Linked DNA regions of Saccharomyces cerevisiae S288C. The protein of the gene in region 2 interacts with the protein of the main gene of each other region in a biochemical or structural test. Each region holds a gene or a part of one and is shown on either strand. Other genes may lie near its edges.

Region 1 (4,959 bases), 410 kb from region 2:
TGGATAATACAGAGACTCATGATCAATGGGGCAATTTCAAAGTCTCAGCACTCAATCTCCTTAGAACTATGAATCCAGACGTGGTGGGCGATATAGAATCACATTCCATAACGTTTCAACAATTTTCAACTGCAATAAGAACTGTAATGCCCAATCTATTAAAACCATTAGAGAATTTAATGGAGCATTTTTTTTATTTGCAGCACGATTTAGTTGATCATGACACAAACTTATCGTCTATTCAGGATTCTAAAGTTATGACTCCAGCACTGTTGGCACAGTTATCGACGGGACTACCAAAGGAATTATTTATTCATAAGCTACAAAGTTTATACATCGGCAGGAAAAGTGGCTTCTCAATGAGGTCTTTGCAAGCAAAGGTGTTCAAATGGATGGCGCCTTCGATTTTAGTTGTTAGCGGAATGAGGATAACAAATTCTGAAGAATACGCAGCTGAGAAGAATCCAAGATACCGCCATTTTCTTGAAGAATTTCCTAAATTGAAAGAGTCAGATCAAATGATGGATGCATCGCATTTGAATAAAAGGAAAACTACTTTCGCTGTGTACATAGACGATCCGTGGAAAGTAACAAATAAAGATTATTTTGGCGATCTGAATACGAGAATAATAGAAATATCACCCAGGCAGGATATTTATAAAGTCAACCAAAAAGGCACGATCTATTTCAATACAATTGGTGGCGGAATTGGAATCGGGGATAAACAACCATTAATAAAACCAGCATCCAAGAGATACATACCAGGGAACGTGTCGCTTACTTTTGACAGCACATTAGAATTTGCTGTGTTTAGAAATACTGGTTACGGAGGTTCATTAGACCCTGGTTTATTGTCGATGGAAAGAAAGGAGGAAAATTCCCCTTATGAATTGCATTTTTTGATTCAAGATGTTGAGGTATGGGGCTGTGGTGGTGAGAAAGAACTAGAAGAGCAAATCAAACAGTTGGAATGGGAAGAAGCAGAATCTAAAAGAAGACAGCAAATTAACCTGAGAAGCTTGGGAGAAGACCGTGCCTTACTGGAAATGGCAGGTTTAGTTGGCCAACATCAAGGTGGCGGTTCAATGTGATGCCTGCCTTTTTTGCTGTTTTTAGTTATTGGGATTGATTTCACTAAAAATCAAGACCACTAAATAAGGCTATTGTTTATTTTAATATTTATTGCACTTGTATGAAAAGTACCAAACTTTTGATACTGATATTACACTTTTAGTCTTGAACTTTCTTCGTTAAATTGCTGACCTACTTTCTGTTCTTCGACTCCAAACAACGATTCCCAAATGTATTTTCACAGGGCCGCATTATTTCTTTGATTTCGTTTTTTTCACCAATTTTTTCTTGATGTGCTTCTTGACTTTTGTTTTCCTTTTTTCTCTTTTTGCATCTTTAGCTTCCTGCTTGCGCAATTTTTTTAAATCCTTGTCCTCATGTTTCTTCCCCTTTAAAACTTTTGGTTCATCATCGTCATAGTACTCGCCCTCCTCCTCGTCATCTTCTTCAGATCCGCTTGAGCCGTCTTCTTCATCATCTGAGAATTCCTCTGTGCCAGAACTACATTCGTGGTCAGCGTTATCAAATTCAAATTGCTCAGAAGCAGCAAAATTGCGTTCATTATCATGGGCAATCAAGCTTTTCAGTAAGTCAAACTTACCATCAGTATACCTATCAAAATCTCTTTCCTCTAATCCACCCAATGATCTAACTAAATGCAGCGATCTGAATATTTCATCTTCTGCCTCATCTTGTTCTGTAGATTTTATTGGTAGATTACTAGCAATGTATGCAACCAAGGCGCTAATATTGTTATAATCACCTTTAAATTTCTCCAAAGTTTCTGATATGACAAATTGAAAAATAACCCTTTCAGGGAAAATACTTATACCCATCTTCTCGAAATAAAGGTTAACGTTTTTGATATCCATCCTTAAAAAATCTAAACTCATTGGATGTTCAGGTTCCACACTTTGGGAAACATCGATCATATATAGTTTATCATCATGAACTATGGTGTTATACTCTGACAAATCGGCATGAACCAGGCGACAAACTTGGTACAGCAATCTCATATATGCCACCATTGTGTGATAATAATGGAAAATTTCATCACGATTCTTGTACGGATAATCTTTTAATTTAGGTGAGGCAAATCCATTACCTCGGCTTAAAAATTCCATAACTAAGACGTTGTTCTTAACTTCTATTGGCTTAGGAGCTGGAATGACGCCACTTTGATAAATTCTTTTCAGGTTCCTAAATTCCTTTTCAGCCCAAATTTTAATCATTTTCCTTGGATTATGTTGAGATCTGGAATTTCTAAATCTAAATTCACCATCAACATATCTTTCACGATCTTTGAAGACTAGGATAGAGGTCTTATAAATCTTAATGGCATATTCTGCACGGGATCCGTCTGTCTCTAAAACTTCATACTGGCCTGTTTCCTCATCTATTACGGGTGCCTTACCGGTACCTGCAAAAGCGTGGTAAACATTAGCTTCTTTCCCAGTACTTAAGCAACCGTTCAAATCTGCAATCACACCTCTGGTGACCATAGACTTCAAAAATCTCATAGTTCTCGGATCTAAGACATTTTCCACAGTCGCCCTATTTGCTTTATCCTTTGATGTTTTCGCTCTGCTGAATGATAATTCATCAGTTTTTATTTTGTGACTATACTTCTCTAAGAGCTGATTATTAATATGGTCCGAGGCACCTTGCGACACAGACAATGAATCAAATTTATCTTCCAAGGACATGACCTTCTAAAAATAACGGAGTTTGAATCTCTAAATCTGTTTTAACTTCTTTTTACTATTATTTTTAGTCTTAGTATCTCATCTCATCTCAATTTCTATATTCCACTATAAAATTTTTCACTCTTTCTGCGCGCGCCAATGTCCCCGCAACTACTCAATAGGTAACATGAGAATATTTCAGTTCGTAAGAGAGAAGAGATGAAGTTATTTGGGCTCTTTGCTCGAGGTTACAGAAGGGCCGCATTAGAGTGAATGAGCTGATGATATTTCGCCCAGTTCTACATTTTTTTTTTTTTGGAAGTATGACCTCTGTTAAATTTTTTTTTTTTTAAATTTCACTTTCTAAAGTCCCAGAAATCCGCTTGAATGTCTTACATATTGCAATGGATATGCTTGGGTGATCATACTTCCTGGCTTTAGATATTTGAAACTTAACTCTTGTCAACAAACTTCCTATGGAGTGTATAAGAATTGTAAGTTATAACACCGGCGAACAATCGGGGCAGACTATTCCGGGGAAGAACAAGGAAGGGCGGTCTTTTCTCCCTCATTGTCATAGCAAGGTCATTTCGCCTTCTCAGAAAGGGGTAGAATCAATCTAGCACGCAGATTGCAAACACGGCTTAATAATATGCCTATCAGGCATTCACCCGTGTGACGAATCGCACACCGCTGCTCTCCTTAATTCCCTAGAGTAGAAACCGAGCTTTCAGGAAAAGACTACGGCAGTAAAGAATTGCTTTACTGGGCGTATAAAACCGGGAGAATCAAGACATTCTAATGACTTGATTCAGGATGAGAGCTTAATAGGTGCATCTTAGCAAGCTAAAATTTGGACAGCTCTCATTACTAAATTAAGATAGAAAAATGCCTGCTACTTTACATGATTCTACGAAAATCCTTTCTCTAAATACTGGAGCCCAAATCCCTCAAATAGGTTTAGGTACGTGGCAGTCGAAAGAGAACGATGCTTATAAGGCTGTTTTAACCGCTTTGAAAGATGGCTACCGACACATTGATACTGCTGCTATTTACCGTAATGAAGACCAAGTCGGTCAAGCCATCAAGGATTCAGGTGTTCCTCGGGAAGAAATCTTTGTTACTACAAAGTTATGGTGTACACAACACCACGAACCTGAAGTAGCGCTGGATCAATCACTAAAGAGGTTAGGATTGGACTACGTAGACTTATATTTGATGCATTGGCCTGCCAGATTAGATCCAGCCTACATCAAAAATGAAGACATCTTGAGTGTGCCAACAAAGAAGGATGGTTCTCGTGCAGTGGATATCACCAATTGGAATTTCATCAAAACCTGGGAATTAATGCAGGAACTACCAAAGACTGGTAAAACTAAGGCCGTTGGAGTCTCCAACTTTTCTATAAATAACCTGAAAGATCTATTAGCATCTCAAGGTAATAAGCTTACGCCAGCTGCTAACCAAGTCGAAATACATCCATTACTACCTCAAGACGAATTGATTAATTTTTGTAAAAGTAAAGGCATTGTGGTTGAAGCTTATTCTCCGTTAGGTAGTACCGATGCTCCACTATTGAAGGAACCGGTTATCCTTGAAATTGCGAAGAAAAATAACGTTCAACCCGGACACGTTGTTATTAGCTGGCACGTCCAAAGAGGTTATGTTGTCTTGCCAAAATCTGTGAATCCCGATCGAATCAAAACGAACAGGAAAATATTTACTTTGTCTACTGAGGACTTTGAAGCTATCAATAACATATCGAAGGAAAAGGGCGAAAAAAGGGTTGTACATCCAAATTGGTCTCCTTTCGAAGTATTCAAGTAATTGTTTTTGCGTGTTTCTCGTATGATTGTAATATGTAGATAAATTAAACATAAGTATATCAAATGTCGATATTCTTAAGACTGTTTCGTAAATATGTTAAATACCGGATGTGACTACATATAAAAAGTGCGCCTTTTACAGTGATAATTAGCGTCAATCAATAAAATATTTGTAAAATAGGAAGCGAAATCCCGCAGATGCCAGAATAGGTGGTGTATAAGGCAAGAAAACTTTACCTGCATAAATTAGTATTGAACACCAATCAAGTAGTCAGCCAATTGCTCGACAATCTTGGTGGCCTCACCGGCTTGTACGGTTGGTGGATAATGAGCAATAATAACGGTTTGCTTAGTTCTTACACAAACAACACCCTCAG
Region 2 (4,291 bases):
AACAGGTCAGAAAACTATGATGAAGAAAGTGCTCAAGAAGTTCCAGTTAGATCAGTGACTCCGATACGTCAAGTTAAAAGGTCTCTTCATACTATTTCTTCGCCATTGGCCTCACAGGGCGTAGTGAATAATGTCCCCAAGTATATTCCAAGCATGTCGTGGGAAAAGTTGCCGGATTACTCACCTCCTCTTCACACTTTGCCGAATAGTAATAATAAAGTTTTAAAAGTGGAATGGAAAGGCTCTCCAATGGACTTGAATCATGATCCTCTCAAACAGCGTCTGCATCCTGCAGAACTAGTTCTCGCACAGATTCTGAGACTTCCATGTGATCTTTATTTGGACTCTAAAAGAAGATTTTTCTTGGAAAAAGTTCATAGATTCAAAAAGGGGTTGCCGTTCAGGAGAACGGATGCTCAAAAGGCTTGTAGAATAGACGTTAATAAAGCATCAAGGCTATTTGCAGCATTTGAAAAGGTAGGTTGGTTACAAGATAAACATTTTGAAAAGTATTTGTAAGAAAGAGGCGGTACGCCTTTGGGATAGCGTATCGTTTCATCGTTTAAACGAGCAAATTTGATAAGTACGGAATATGACAGTCTCATTGAGTAATACAGAATTGAGGCGTTTAAATGGTTATGGTTAAGGGTTACGGTTACGGTTTTTTATTCTTAGAACACATTTGATATATTTTTATTTATGGTTTTTTACATATAGATTTCGTTCATATATGAGGTTTTCTTTTTATATTAATTATATTTCTTCGGTTGTTACGTTATCAATTTTGTTATTGAATTATTACGGGTTATGAACGCCGTAGAAAAATAGCATTGGAGTTTGAGAGTCTGTGGCTTTTCTGTCACATCATTTTTTCGTCTAACTTAGGTTAACTCAGTAATCGTCGATTTCTTCATAACAGGCCAGGACCTTTTTTCTGTATTCCTCCATATCTGCATCCCAAAGTTCTGCTGCCACAGCGTTCAGCGGAGATCTGTTATTTGGTTCGCCAAGTAATGACTGCAATGACAATAGAATTGTTTCTACATTATACACTGCAGACCATTTCTCTTTCAGAATGTCCAAACAAATGTTGCCACTCTTATCCACGTTTGGATGCCACATTGGACTCAAAAATTTAATCATTGGCGGATGGAAAGGATAGTTTTGAGGAAACTTCAATGAAACCTTGAATTTAAGTCCACTATACGGTGTGTCTTTAGGGCCTGTAATATACCCTACCCAGTATGTTAAATCATTATCGTCTACGGGAAACGCACTAATACTTTCTGTTGTAGAACTAAGTAGCTGTAGCAGCTCATTTTGTAAACGTTTCGTCACGCAACCACCCTCTTCTACTGCCATTCTATACTAGCAAGCCTCGAATCATACAGGTTTTGTAGCACCTATAAGATGTAAAATATGAAAAATTTTTTCTGATATCTCATTTATCCAGTGTCAGAAGCATGTTTTGTGTCGCTATTAGTCAACGCTTTTTCCTTGAAAATCTCTTTCTAATAATGACATCATTAAAAAGAGTCCATTAACGTTATAAAGGAAAAATATTTCAAATTAAGCTTCATTACTGTTGATATATTGTCGAATTTGCCACGGTTTAGCTACGTATGCAGGACTATTGATTATCAGCACTGTAATAATGTACAATTATTTATATTATCCTATATCAATAACGTATATCTTTATTTGTTTTGATTTTTTCTCATTTTTCCCGTCCTAATCACTATCACTCGATTCACCATCATTGCTTTCACTGGTGTTTTCCTCGTATACGATCTCTGAACCATTATCTTCTTTTACTTCAGGTAAGTCTAGTTCCTTGTGGCTCTCTTTGTTTTCGATTGAAACTTCGTCATCAAATACAATTTTTTTGTTTGAAACTATAGGTAAACTTTCAGCTTGGGAACGAGAGCTGTTATAGCCATTGCCTTCTTCGTCGGCGTCACTTATTAATGTACCGTCCACAGAAACAACTCTTCCTGTAGTATGAACATTTCTCACTGTGAACCTCAATTTACCGTCAATGGGTTCACCATTAGAATCTACCCAGTGGCCCAAAGATCTGTTTCCAAAGGAAAATTTGCCCAAACTATTGCTTCCACCATTGCTATCCTTGTTATCTTCGTTATTATTGTTTCCATTATTTTCATCTGTGTTTATCACGTCAGCATCTTCTTCCACGTCGTTATGGACAAAGGTCCAATCCACAGGGATATTATTCTTTTTGATACTAGCATTAAACGCATCATGAATCAAAAGACCAATGTGTGAGGCGGATTGAATGAAAATGTAACCTTCCAAAACATCTCCAACTTGTGGCTGCCAAACGTATAGGTTTACATGGCACCAAGTAAATCCAAAAGGGGTATCGGGTGTGATTTTTATTAGTTTTTCTGATGTATCTTCTTTGCTTAAAGGATCAGCATCAAGAATTTTCAACCCTTCATAACCTAGCACAACACCTCCAACTTTGTTGTTATATTTCATTACTAATGGGTTCAAGTGCTGCTTCATGACACCTTGCAAGGGATTTTCTAAATACATTGGTGCCAAAGAAACATAGAGAGCAATGGGAACACGCACTATACAGTTGGAAGTTCCATTTTTCTCATCAATTGGGTTTGTAACCTGTTTTTTGTGTTTCTTGATGAACCTTGCGGTTTCGCGGTTCTCATTGGCTCTTTTTACTTGTGACATAATCCACGTTTGTCTCTTATCTTTCTGATATTATTATATATAAGCAAAAAAACGAGGGAGTGTATAACGATAGTCCCTTCGGCTCTATTTTATTGTAAACCTCCACTACATTGTCATATTTGCGATGCCATTAGTATTTTATTGCAGAAAAATTTTTTTCAAACCACCCATACACCCTCATCGGAATCTTTTCATTTCAAAGCGACAGTAATATTTTCTGTCAAGAATACACAAAGGATACACTTGCAGCTGGAATAAGCAAGATTCCACCAAGTTTCTTCTACCTGAAATACATCTATTACGGGGCCTTGATTAAAAGTAACTTAACTTCGCAGTTAAATTTAACTTTACAAGAACGGCATATGATCAGATCGTATCCTTGCCCGCTATCGGAGGGTCTCAGAATTACATCTTATACTGTTTCGAGTTTCTTATGTCTCCTCTTATAGCTAAAATGATTTGAACTTAGAAATTATCGAGGATAGAAGTAAGGCGTTGCATTTCCTTATAACTATCGTGTTTATTTTCTTAGTGGTGGTTCTTTTATTATTACCCGTTTTCTTCGGTAATATTTTATAGTGAAAAATTTTGGTAAAAAAAAAAAAAAAGAAAAAATTTTTTTTATTTCAAATCTCATCTCATCTCTTAAAAAGGTTTATTCTGTTTACTCAAACTCTTCATCAAAAACAAAAGTACTGCGCTAATAATTCTGGTCTTAGGTATCCATTAACTATACAGTGAACTTTATCCTTTTTCTGCTTTTTTTTTGCCGTACTTCGATTATAATCAAAGCCAGAAAGAAAAATGGATATTTCTAAACCGGTTGGTTCTGAAATCACATCCGTTGATTTCGGGATCCTAACAGCTAAAGAGATTAGAAATCTATCAGCAAAGCAAATTACCAATCCTACGGTTTTAGATAACTTAGGTCATCCAGTATCAGGCGGTTTATATGACTTAGCCTTAGGTGCATTCTTAAGGAATCTGTGTTCTACTTGTGGTTTGGATGAAAAATTCTGTCCAGGTCACCAAGGTCACATTGAATTACCTGTCCCTTGTTATAATCCATTGTTCTTTAACCAGCTATATATTTATTTGAGGGCATCATGTTTATTCTGTCATCATTTCCGTTTAAAGTCAGTAGAGGTTCATCGTTACGCATGTAAATTGAGATTGTTACAATACGGTTTGATAGACGAATCTTACAAACTAGATGAAATAACTTTGGGCTCTCTTAATAGCAGTATGTACACTGACGACGAAGCTATTGAAGATAATGAGGATGAAATGGATGGTGAAGGAAGCAAGCAATCAAAGGATATTTCCTCCACTCTCTTAAATGAACTGAAAAGTAAGCGTTCAGAATATGTTGACATGGCCATCGCTAAAGCTTTGTCAGACGGCAGAACTACTGAGAGAGGCTCTTTCACAGCTACTGTAAATGATGAACGAAAGAAATTGGTCCATGAGTTTCACAAAAAACTATTATCTAGAGGTAAGTGTGATAACTGTGGTATGTTTTCGCCAAAATTTAGAAAGGATGGTTTTACAAAAATCTTCGAAACTGCGTTGAATGAAA

What was found. Proteins that work in one complex are often made in the same cells at the same time.
Region 1: of the proteins of RPA43 (region 2) and RIO1, one has a biochemical effect on the other in vitro, tested with the Saccharomyces cerevisiae proteins (one study listed by BioGRID).

Annotation. Positions count from the first base shown.
Region 1 is NC_001147.6:547,470-552,428, forward strand, and holds RIO1 (protein kinase RIO1), read right to left. Parts: upstream 2,778-4,959; coding exon 1,323-2,777; downstream 1-1,322. Other genes in the region: RTC5 (Rtc5p), read left to right, coding at 1-1,091; glycerol 2-dehydrogenase (NADP(+)) GCY1, read left to right, coding at 3,645-4,583; PFY1 (profilin), read right to left, coding at 4,829-4,959. UniProt on the Saccharomyces cerevisiae protein: Required for the final endonucleolytic cleavage at site D converting 20S pre-rRNA into the mature 18S rRNA. Required for the final steps of cytoplasmic maturation of the 40S ribosomal subunit.
Region 2 is NC_001147.6:957,471-961,761, forward strand, and holds RPA43 (DNA-directed RNA polymerase I subunit RPA43), read right to left. Parts: upstream 2,713-4,291; coding exon 1,732-2,712; downstream 1-1,731. Other genes in the region: YOR338W (uncharacterized protein), read left to right, coding at 1-519; putative E2 ubiquitin-protein ligase UBC11, read right to left, coding at 892-1,362; DNA-directed RNA polymerase I core subunit RPA190, read left to right, coding at 3,517-4,291. UniProt on the Saccharomyces cerevisiae protein: DNA-dependent RNA polymerases catalyze the transcription of DNA into RNA using the four ribonucleoside triphosphates as substrates. Component of RNA polymerase I (Pol I) which synthesizes ribosomal RNA precursors.